Rattus norvegicus: one gene and its partners. The main gene of each other region encodes a partner of the protein of the gene in region 2 in a complex. Links are inferred from orthologs where the notes say so. Each region holds a gene or a part of one and is shown on either strand. Other genes may lie near its edges.

The links.
Region 1: the proteins of Kcnma1 (region 2) and Lrrc26 are in contact, whole or in part, in a cryo-EM structure (PDB 7YNZ), measured with the Homo sapiens proteins. The link is inferred for Rattus norvegicus from reciprocal best matches to the Homo sapiens genes KCNMA1 and LRRC26. Residues at the interface, in NP_001154824.1 of Homo sapiens: Pro78, Cys79, Asp80, Ser81, Arg82, Gln84, Trp88, Ala92, Ser93, Val96, Thr97, Glu155, Trp158, Met159, Ser161, Val162, Trp165, Cys206, Leu226, Leu227, Phe229, Gly230, Leu231, Phe233, Ile234, Asp251, Phe252, Pro256, Phe259, Val260; in NP_001013675.1 of Homo sapiens: Gly204, Cys205, Gly206, Cys207, Ala208, Arg236, Leu237, Ala249, Phe250, His252, Cys253, Ala254, Gln255, Leu257, Arg260, Asp261, Leu262, Val264, Val265, Tyr266, Leu268, Gly269, Pro270, Ser272, Phe273, Ser276, Leu277, Cys280, Leu281, Leu283.
Region 3: the proteins of Kcnma1 (region 2) and Kcnmb4 are in contact, whole or in part, in a cryo-EM structure (PDB 6V22), measured with the Homo sapiens proteins. The link is inferred for Rattus norvegicus from reciprocal best matches to the Homo sapiens genes KCNMA1 and KCNMB4. Residues at the interface, in NP_001154824.1 of Homo sapiens: Phe98, Phe99, Leu102, Phe103, Leu106, Leu107, Arg109, Thr110, Tyr113, Leu114, Thr116, Val117, Asp238, Leu240, Trp241, Leu244, Pro327, Trp328, Asn330, Gln332, Leu367; in NP_055320.4 of Homo sapiens: Thr11, Glu12, Ala13, Glu14, Lys16, Ser17, Leu20, Leu24, Ile34, Phe35, Cys38, Trp39, His105, Thr164, His165, Val183, Leu186, Ile187, Leu190, Thr191, Ala194, Leu197, Ala198, Lys200, Ala201, Met204.

Annotation. Positions count from the first base shown.
Region 1 is NC_086021.1:28,498,952-28,502,417, forward strand, and holds Lrrc26 (leucine-rich repeat-containing protein 26 precursor), read left to right. Parts: upstream 1-1,565; 5' UTR 1,566-1,689; coding exon 1,690-2,374; intron 2,375-2,450; coding exon 2,451-2,770; 3' UTR 2,771-2,892; downstream 2,893-3,466. Other genes in the region: Tmem210 (transmembrane protein 210 precursor), read left to right, coding at 63-198, 430-459, 617-806. UniProt on the Homo sapiens protein: Auxiliary protein of the large-conductance, voltage and calcium-activated potassium channel (BK alpha). Required for the conversion of BK alpha channels from a high-voltage to a low-voltage activated channel type in non-excitable cells.
Region 2 is NC_086033.1:967,399-971,047, forward strand, and holds part of Kcnma1 (calcium-activated potassium channel subunit alpha-1), read left to right. Parts: intron 1-1,977; coding exon 1,978-2,202; intron 2,203-3,649. UniProt on the Homo sapiens protein: Potassium channel activated by both membrane depolarization or increase in cytosolic Ca(2+) that mediates export of K(+). It is also activated by the concentration of cytosolic Mg(2+).
Region 3 is NC_086025.1:53,977,462-53,981,110, reverse strand, and holds part of Kcnmb4 (calcium-activated potassium channel subunit beta-4), read left to right. Parts: intron 1-415; coding exon 416-543; intron 544-3,649. UniProt on the Homo sapiens protein: Regulatory subunit of the calcium activated potassium KCNMA1 (maxiK) channel. Modulates the calcium sensitivity and gating kinetics of KCNMA1, thereby contributing to KCNMA1 channel diversity.

The DNA of each region.
Region 1 (3,466 bases), on a different chromosome or scaffold from region 2:
GGACCTGAGGGTCCTCCACAGGCAGGTGACTAGCCCCTGGTCTTGTGGCCTTGTTTCTGCAGCTGGAACCTACTGTGAATGCAGCCTCGGTCTCAGCCGTGAGGCCCTTATTGCCCTCATTGTGGTGCTGGCTGGTATCAGTGCCAGCTGCTTCTGTGCCCTCGTTGTTGTGGCGCTTGGTGTCTTTCGGGCCAAGGAGTGCGTGAGCTTTGGATTGGGCACAGTGGGAGTGAGGCTTTAATTCTGGCCCCAGGCTGTTAGTCATGCTTTGAGGGGCCTCTTCCTAGGGTGGTATGTCATGAGAGGCTGGGGATAGTGTTTTCCAAGGTGCGTGTTGGGTATGAGGGTTGTAGGAAGATGTTGCAGGGGACTTCCAGGCGTAAGAATGAGCATTTCTCCAAAGATCACACCTGCCTTTGTCCCCCTCAGTGACACGTGCCCTGGACACTCGGAAAACAGGTAAGTGTGTCAGAGGAAGTCTCAGAGGTGAGCTGTGTCCCCTCTCCGCCCCCTCCTGAAGTGCAGCTCACAGCTTTATTGAGAGCAACGTCCTCATGGGCTGTTCGCCCCTGGGTGGCCAAGGCCTTGTTGGACCATGCTGATGTCCATCATGCAGGTTGGAGGAGCCCTATGGGGTCCAGGAAGATCAAATAGACCTGCACACGGTGCACGTGGAGTCCCACCTCATGGACCCTGATCTGGAGGTATCCATGATGCAGTCCTTGGAGAACCAAACCCTCACGGCCATGACTGCTCCTCTACAGCCCCCTCCACCCCCTCCCCCTCCCCCCCCACCTCCAGTGTAGTGGAGAGCAGCTAGGCTGGAGAATTAAACAGTATTTAGTGATTATGTGCTGTCCTTCTTGCAGGTCCCTCATGAGGTAATGTTTGTGCATGAATCATGGTGGTTGTCTCCACCCTGGGTTACTGAGCCATACCTTTGGGGTTTCTAGCTCCTAGCCCAGCTGGCCAGTTCAGCTCTTTCCTGCATTTGCCTACTATTGATCTTAAAGAGATGACTGATCCTGGACCCTCCTACCTTCCCAGATTCCCCCAAGATAGGCCCTGTAAGCTGGCAAACCAAAATGGAACTGCAGTGGCCAGACTGAGGCCAGTGCCCTTTCCGCTGACACTGTCCTCAGGAGCTCCAAGCTGGAGAGGGTTGCAACATCTTTCCTACACTCCCTCTTTTGCCTTAGATGTGTCGTCCTTCCTACACTTCCAGGTCTTTCCCTTGTGGTTAGGCTCCATCATGTGTTTATACTTTCACCAATCCTCTGCCAAGAGACCGGGATTCTTTTAGGATCTGTGGGGTCCTTTTGCCGAATAGGAATAGAAATTGTGACTGGGGTATGGAGCAAGGCACTGCATGCTGCATTCTATGATGCAGAACTGGTGGCTTTGATCCTGCTTTTTAGGTCTCAGTGGGGAGGCCGATGGTCTCATCAGCTCTATACCGGGCTCAAGGCCAAGCCAAGACTGGAGCTCTGGACAGGTGGTTGGCAGTACTGGGCATTGGCTCTGTGCCTAGCCCCCGCCCAAGTTGAGGAACCAGCAGTGGGACAGAAACTGTTTTGCTAGGGCGGGAGAGTTAATACTTGTGCAGGTGAGGCAGGGACAAGCTCTGGGTCACCTGAACTCCGAAGCCACACAGGGATCAAGGTCCCCTCCTGTTCTCGAGCTGCCTCCATGAGGGGTTCTTTTTTCTCGCGGCTTCCGCCGCAACTCTCTCTGCTGCTGCTGCTGCTGCTGCTGTTGTCGTGGAGACGAGTCTGGACCCAGGAGCACATTGGAACTGACCCTTCCAAATCCCCGGTGGCCCCCGTATGCCCCGAGGCATGTTCATGTTCACCAGGAGGCAAGGCCAATTGCTCCGCGCTGGCGCTGCCCGCGGTACCGGCGGGCCTGAGCTGGCAAGTACGCTCACTGCTGCTGGATCGCAATCGAGTGAGCACACTACCTCCAGGTGCCTTCGCCGATGCAGGCGCACTGCTATACCTAGTCCTGCGGGAGAACCGGCTTCGGTCGGTGCACGCGCGAGCTTTCTGGGGTCTGGGAGTGTTGCAACGGCTGGACCTGAGCTCCAACCAGCTGGAAACTCTGTCTCCTGGCACCTTCACGCCTCTGCGAGCGCTGAGTTTCCTCTCCCTAGCGGGTAACCGGCTGGCACTCCTGGAGCCCTCGATCCTGGGCCCGCTCCCTTTACTGCGGGTGCTCAGCCTGCAGGACAATTCACTATCGGCACTCGAGGCGGGTTTGCTGAATAGCTTGCCTGCCCTCGACGTGTTGCGCTTGCATGGCAACCCCTGGGCGTGCAGCTGCGCGCTGCGCCCGCTTTGCACCTGGCTGCGTAAGCACCCGCGTCCCACTTCAGGTGAGCCATCTGGGGCACAGGGCGGATGATGTTTGTTGCCACTGCTGCCATCTGACGCCGCTCCTGTGTCCCGCAGAAACTGAGACCCTGCTCTGTGTGTCTCCAAAACTTCAAACGCTCAACCTACTGACAGACTTTCCGGACAACGCCTTCAAACAGTGCACGCAGTCACTCGCTGCGCGAGACCTGGCGGTGGTCTATGCTCTCGGGCCGGCCTCTTTCCTTGCCAGTTTAGCCATCTGCCTGGCATTGGGCTCGGTACTCACTGCTTGTGGTGCACGGCGCCGCCGCCGCCGCACCACAGTGCGCCACTTAATAAGGAGACAGCCAGACCCCGAGGGCCCAGCCTCCCTGGAGGATGTTGGGAGCCCTACAACAACAGCTATCCAAGCCTAAGGGTTCCGCTGTTGTTTCTAGCGCTCCTGTAGCATCCCGCACTTTGAAAACTGTCCCCAAATCCCCGATCCTCCCTTCACATTCCCTGTAGGCGTCAACAATAGACAAAACCCGGAAATTTTCTGACATTCCTTTAGGCATCACCACTGAATACCGGGATTAGGGGTGGCTGTGCGCGCCCGGTGTCCCTGGGGCAGACACTGGGACACTGGGAGAGCTGGTCATGTACAAGGTAGTGGGGTGAGTGACACCGGACTGGGAGGCAGATGGCGCTCCCTGGTGCCCAAGGTGCGGGACTCATCACGAGCCAGCGTCTGAGGAAGCCTATTGTGGCTGCGGACAGAAGAGAAGGCTCAGCCCTCTTGGAGTCTGGAGCCCTAGATGTCTGGGAGCCAGAAAGCACCCCTGAAGCACTGCCACTAGGGCAGTGAAGGCTAGCCCTGGGAAAGGTCAGAGACAACCCAGTGAATGGGGTGGGGAAATGTCGTGGGAGGGTGGTGCAGCAGGAGAGAGGTGGAAATCAAGTTGCAGAGAGCAGGCGCTGGAGGAAGGGTCGGGGGTGACCTAGCAAGCTGGGGCCATAGGCCCCCACTGTAGCTTGGGGTAGTGGCTGGAGGAAGGATGGGGCTGCCATTTCTGCTCCAGACTCCTCCGACCGGGGCCACTTAGGCCCCTCACCCCACTGCTCAGAGACCT
Region 2 (3,649 bases):
GGTTTTTACATGAGACAAACCCTTCCAAAAATAACTTAGGAAACCCTAAAGTCTGAACATGGGTCAGTATGCTTTTTCTGTAGAAGCAGGCATTAGTGATTTAAGTCTCACGGGCCATGTGATCTTTGTCTCAACCGACAACTCTTGTTTTCCATGAAAGGAACCATGGAAAATACCTCGATATTATGAGTTGGCTGTGTCCCAGTAAAACTTTATTGGAATGTGAATTTTATATGATCATCATTCATAGTGACATTTCCAATATTGGTTTACCTTTTAGTCATTGTGAATTTTAAAAATCAGTTTTAGCTCAGTGGTCATATAGAAGCCTGTAGGCTTGTATCATCAGATTGAAGCTGCAGACCACAGCAGCCAGCCTATGGTTTCAGATATCACATTCAATCTCCTGAGACAGTGAGGGGTATGCTACCCCACTGAAACATCTAAAGAGAGAACCTCAAGTTTCAGCTGAGACCATCCAAAGAATAGGAGCATTTAATCATCATCTTAGCCAAAGGGCCTAAATGGCTCTCATTTTACCCTTCCTTCCTTCCTTCCTTCCTTCCTTCCTTCCTTCCTTCCTTCCTTCCTTCCTTCTTCCTTCCCTCCCTCCTTTCTTTCTTCCTTTCACTTTCTTTTTCTTTTTCATTATTTCATCATCTCTTCCTTCCTTCCTTTTTTATTTGAGACTAGGTTTCTCTGTGTAATCCCTGGAACTCACTCTTTAGGTCAGGCTGACCTCCAACTCAGAGATCCACCTGCCTCTGCCTCCTAAGTGCTGGGATTAAATTGTTTATCACCTATTTAATGGACGCTAAGACTTACTTTCTTCCAATATACCCAAACATCCCCTTTTATTGTCTTTGTTCTCCTAAAAATTCCTATCCCCGTCTCCTCATCACAAGTCTACATGGTGCACCCTATTGTTCTAGAAGGTAGTAATGTGTGAATATATGCTTACAGGAATTTATAATGTAAATAAAGTAAATACTTCTGTGCATATTACAGATGAGTATATAACATGTATATAGTGGCAAAATAAAAAATAATAGCTGTCCTGCAAGCCCTCCTGGTATTTTACAGATTCTTTAATGGTAAATAGAACCAACAAGGGAAAACATATGCTTGTATGTATGCTTGCTGTATGTACTAAACTTACTATAAAGATCTATATGTTCTCCAAAATGCTGAACATAGAGTTTTGAACCAGTTTTTGACTTCATAAAAGAACCTGGTGGTGTACAGCAGCCCACATGGTGACCTGAGTTTTACCTTTTTACCCAGTTCTCCACTTTCTCAAGTATACTTTTATCCATTAGAAGAGGTACCTTTTGCAATTTTACATATGATGCTGAAGAATTATTTCTTTTCTATTATTCTGAATTAAATTAAACATTTTGTTTTTACTATAGTTCAAATAATAGCTTTATTGGGTACCTTTGTGCTATTATAATAAAAATGTCTGAGATAGCTAATTCACAAAGAGAAAACAGTAGCTCACAGTTTAACAAGTTCGAAGTCTAATGCTAGGCTACCCCAATTGCCTGATCTTTGCTGAAGTGGTAGATGATTATAGCAGGAGATCAAACATGAGCAGAGAAAAAGGAGATGGGTGTGTCCGTGTTTCTCTTCTTGTACTGATTGTCTTTGGGGAAGACATGGACGGAGTCAAGGAATCATGTGAAAACTCCCAGGTGGTTGCACATAAACTGCCCCACACCTTAAATAATCTAAAGACCTCAGCAAGGCTTCAACTCAACAAAGATCTACCATAAAATAATGCCACCCTGAAGACAAAGACTTTAACCACAATGGGCCCTTGGGGGACACTCTTTGAACAACACCTCAATCACAGCAGTGGTACACAGTAAGCAGCAACTAGTGTTAGCCTTCCTCTCTGCATAAGTGATGCTTTCTCCCCTTATACCAATATTATAAGCACTTCTTCTTATACTCTTGCACCCCTTTCTGTTACAGACTCGAAGTGAAGCTGCCATGACTGTCCTGAGTGGTCATGTTGTAGTCTGCATCTTTGGGGATGTCAGCTCAGCCCTGATTGGCCTCCGGAACCTGGTGATGCCGCTTCGTGCTAGCAATTTTCACTATCATGAGCTCAAACACATTGTGTTTGTGGGCTCCATCGAGTACCTCAAGCGGGAGTGGGAAACACTGCACAACTTCCCCAAAGTATCCATATTGCCTGTAAGTCAGGGTCACACTATTTGATGTCCTGTTCTTCATCTTTATATTCACAAGAGGAAGTCCCAGGTGGCTGTAATTGTTGAAGCTTTGATCATGTGTCTGCTCCTTTATGTGGCTACAGGCCTGAGGATGTGGGAGTCCTTCCCCTGTACTCTGCTAAGAAACTAAAAGCCTGGGAGGCCTTATTAAAAGAATTTGCAGCCAAGTGCAGCCCCTTGTCAAGGGTGAAGTTGAGCTACCTCTACATGCATTAATGTACCACTGTCTAAACTCTCTTTCCTGGGTGAAATTTAGAATGTCACCCTATTTTGAGATATATATATATATATATATTATACATGTATAATATATATATATATATATAATTATTGGCATTTTAATTTGACACGGTTAATCTTAGAGAAACATAGACCTGTCCCATCTTCCATCTGATATTGACCAAATAAATAAATAAATAAAGAGCAAGTTTATCTCTACTGTATGGAATTTCATACCTCCTCTCTGGGGAATCTGGGAATTCATCCTTTGTCTAGAAACCCAGACATGTTTTCCATGGCTTTGTGTGTTTGTGTATATATGTAAACACACACACACACACACACACACACACACACACACACACACACACACGTGTGTGTGTGTGCTTATTGATCACAAAGATTGCTAGGACACCAATCTATAAAAGACAATTTGGGACTCCACAATTTAGTATGAAGATAAGGGATGGGTAATTTAAAAGCCAAATGACTAGCAACTTTATAATTATAATATATTATCCACAAAATTTCAGACTTAAAGACTAATAATTCTTTTCAAAGTTTTATATGGTTTATATATGCCAGAAATTCAGGAAAATATTGCCTATCCTCCAACTATTTTTATTATCAAGTCATACCTAAAATTGAGGGGTATGCAGCCACTTAGCTATCAAGAGGTCTGTTTTTCCCTACTTTTTTATCAGCTTGTAGAGCAACAGAAATGCAGCCAGAAGAGCCAAGCAGTATAATGTGTTAAAGAATATATAAGGGGCTATTTACAGATAGCACCCTTGGGTGCACTATGTATCTCCCATAATGCCTGGTCCAACAGGTCCCTCAATGCAGAAAAAACATTAGACAGATCCGGTTTGGATACAGGACCAAACCCTGACTGCTTTAATGTATACCTGCAGTTAAAGATGGTCACTTGTTACAGTTCACTCTTTAAAGAAGCATATCCATATACTGTATATCTGTTGCTAAATTCAGAAATATGACCAATCAATTTGATTATCTCCTTCTGTGGTCATCACTATTTACGTGTGATATATCACATGACCCCTTTAACTCTGAAGGTATCTCTGTAAAAAGTGAACTAATTTGCTAGGTGCACAGGTGGATGTTTATGTAGGCAGGACTTGTGGCATGACCTCTGATATTTTTGCATATGCCTGTGTTTCCTTCTGTGT
Region 3 (3,649 bases), on a different chromosome or scaffold from region 2:
GTCAAAACTAGATTTGTCATCTGTAAAATGCCCATCTCTGTAGAAGAAGGAATGGCTATGGGGGCCCATGAACAGTCAGCAAGTCGGCAATTCCCAAGATGGGTCGGACACTTTCAGATGGTTTTGTGATGATCTGCTCATGAGAAGGCTGTCTTGGACGCTGTCGAGAACCTTTTCCTGTCTTGATATCAGAATGGTAGGCAGAATATGACAGGGGAAACCACGACGCATAGTAGGGACACTAGCACATTGGTGACCACTGGGATGGGTATCCCATATTAACCCTGACTATGGCCGCCTCCTCGTCCGTCCCAGACCACAAACTATAATAAAGCAAAGCATTTGAGGAATAGAAAGTCTCCCTTTGACTATCCTGTGTAGTCATAGCTTTCCTCTCTGTGTTCTGTTTGGCCAGTGCTCCTATATCCCGCCCTGTAAGAGAGAAAACCAGAAGAACTCGGAAAGTGTCATGAACTGGCAACAGTATTGGAAAGATGAGATCGGTTCCCAGCCATTCACTTGCTATTTTAATCAACATCAAAGGTAAACCGGTATCCGTATGAGCATGTTAATGTTGGTTGTTTGTGCGATTTATTGCATGAGTAAACCATAGTTCGTGCCCACTTGGAGGAACGTGCCACTGGGAGATAACTTCAAGTTCTTTGTGGCCTATAATCTCCAGCATTAAAAGGCCACTTCCTGCTCTATGAGATGGGAGCCATAGACAGAACATGAGGGGACTAAAATGAGTGGGGAGGATGGGAGGAAGGAGGGAAGGAGGGAAGGACAGAGGGATGGAAAGAGGGAGGGAGAGAAGGAAGGAAGAGGGAGGGAGTGGGAGGGTGGGGAGAGGGAGTACCTGTACCCTACACTTACCTGTGGATATATTACAAATGGCGGCACCTTTGCTGAAGAACATTGTGCACTGTCAGTGTGCTGTAAGACTTACACACTAAGCAGTGTGCAGATTTGCCAGTATTCAGACTTCACCAGTGTTTTTGTCTTTTCTATTCTGACGAAACATCCAAATATGTACCAGGGTGGGATGGTATGGGTGGGGGGAGGGCTTCCCCTTCTCAGAGAAGGGGAGGTGGTAATGGGGGAAGGGTTTGCAAGGGTGGGACTGGGAGGAGAGGAGGGAAGGGGCCACATTGGGGATGTAAAGTGAATAAACAACAAATTACTGGGAAAACATCAGTAAGTGTGCACGCCATCAAAGCCTCGAGTGCCTTAGAAGCTACACCGTCCTTACCATAGCAAGGTGGCCATGGAACAGAACACTTGCCTGCCCACCTAGAGTAGGTTCACCAAGTTAATTTTCAGCATTTATTGTTGGGTGCTCCACAGTGACTTTGACCTCTCCCGATCTCTCTCAGTGAATGGTACCGTCATTCATTTGTCCTTCTTGCCCAGAACGGTCTAAGTGGCTCTTAGTTTCCTTCTTTATTCTCTGCCTTCAGCATCCTGTGGCCATCCCTCTGTGTGACTCTTGGATCAGATCTGGATTTTTTTCTCTCAGCTGTCATAGTCTAATAATGCCTGTCACTGTGCCACTTGAAGCCACCCTCCATGCAGTTACTCAGGCCAGCTCTCTAGCACAGGAGTCTAATCGGTCACTTAGAGTTCTCTGAATAAAGTCAGGCCTGTCGAGGCATGGTCTCTATGTCAGGTGCATGCTGTCCCACAGTAAAGCACCTGAAATCTCACAGTTTACTGAAGTGACGGGGTCTCTCATGCTTCTGTGAGTTGGCAGGACTCGCGTGCAGCTAGCTGCAAATGCAGAGAGGTGTGTGGTCCGAGACGGATACGGTGTTTGATAAAGGTTCTCACCTCTCCTTTAAGTATTGATAAAGTTCTTCAGTGTTCTCCAGAACAGGGACCTCGGCGTTCGGAAAGCTAGAGTATCTTCCTTACAGCAAGGCAGCTTTGCTCACGGAAAGAAGACCTCAGCTCTAGACTTAGGAGAGGCATCACCTCTGACATGTTCTACCGGTCTAGGCAAGCGACAAAGCCGGCAGCGTTCATAGTGTGTTGACAGAGCTTCCCACAGTTCTGCGTGTTGCCGACACAGGAGTATCCGCCTGCAAAATGTGCCGTTCTGGATACTAGCAAATTTCACACGATCAGTTCCTTCTCTAGCCCTAAACAAATCACAGGAAGGACTACCTGGAAGATACCCATGAGGCACAGTAGGCAGTGTCACTTAAGTGACGTGAGGGGAAGGGCAGATCCAAGATGGTCGATGACACAGAAGAGACAAAAGGAGCTTTTTACACGGCATCAGTGGGGCTGGAGAGGTGGCTCAGCGGATAAGAGCACTGGCTGCTCTTTCAGAGGACAGAGGCTCGATTCCCAGCACCCACGTGGCAGTTCATCTCACAATCACCTGTAATTCAACTTCCAAGGGATCTGACACTCTCTTCTGGCCTCTGGGGCAGCAGGCACACAGGTGGTGCAGATACACACACAAGCAAAACACTCATATACGTAAAAAAAGAAGCTTGACAATAAGGCTGGAGAGATGGTTCACTAGTTAAGAGCACTGACTGCTCTTACCAAGGTCCTGAGTTCAATTCCCAGCAACCATGTGGTGATTCACAACCATCTGTAATGGGATCCAATGCCCTCTCTGGTGTGTCTGAAGACAGTTACCGTGTACTTACATAGAATAAATAAATCGTTTTTAAAAAGCTTGAAAATAATAATAACAATAAGCGTCATTGGCTAATTATGTGAGACTCCCCAATGGTCAGCCCAGGCAGCAGCATTTCAACAAACATCAGCCACATACATCTTTCTCTTGCTACACGCTGTGTGCCCACCTCCCTAGCCCAACTGTATGCTTGTTCAAGAGCATACCTTGGTGCCTAGCCCAGTCCCTGCAATTTCTCTGCTGCCACAGGATGAGCATTCATTGATGGAAACAGGTGCTATGCAGTCAAGTATGATGTCATCGGCTGGAGATACAAAAGGGCAAGACCTTGAAATGGGGAGGCTGCACTCCAACAGCCAAGGCTCGAGAACAGGGCGTCTTAGGTGTGTTCGTTTGTAAGACAGTTGATTGGTAGCCTTGGGGTTAGAGTTCTACAGGGTTGTTAACATCACGCTAAAGACATCGTTTTTTGTAACACAAGCAATAAGTGGTCAGGCGAAGCCTTTTTAAATTTTATTCTTAACCGAAGACTGATATAAGTAGAGTTTCGTAGTGGGGAAGTAACCGAGTTTTCCAGTGTCCTTTGCCGTGTTGAGTGTTGAATAGAGGGTGAGTGAAAGGCGGGCAGGAAGGAGAATACTGGCCCGAAGACACAGTCTATAGTGGCTGTAAGCAGTAATTGCATTCAGCTCACAGGGAGGAAACTGAGGCTTAAAGAGTTATGTAGCTGGGGTTGGGGATTTAGCTCAGTGGTAGAGCGCTTGCCTAGCAAGCACAAGGCCCTGGGTTCGGCCCCCAGCTCCAAAAAAAGAAAAAAAAAGAGTTATGTAGTTGACCCAGGGCGTATAGCCAGTCATTAAAAAAAATCAGTTGGTCTGATTTCCAGGAATCCTTCTCTTAGCCATCTGCTGGTTTAGATAAAGGTCTTTGGGGGCCTAAGTGACGGTGGGGGAGGAGGAGGAGGTGATAATGGGGGGGGAGCAATACCAAACAGGG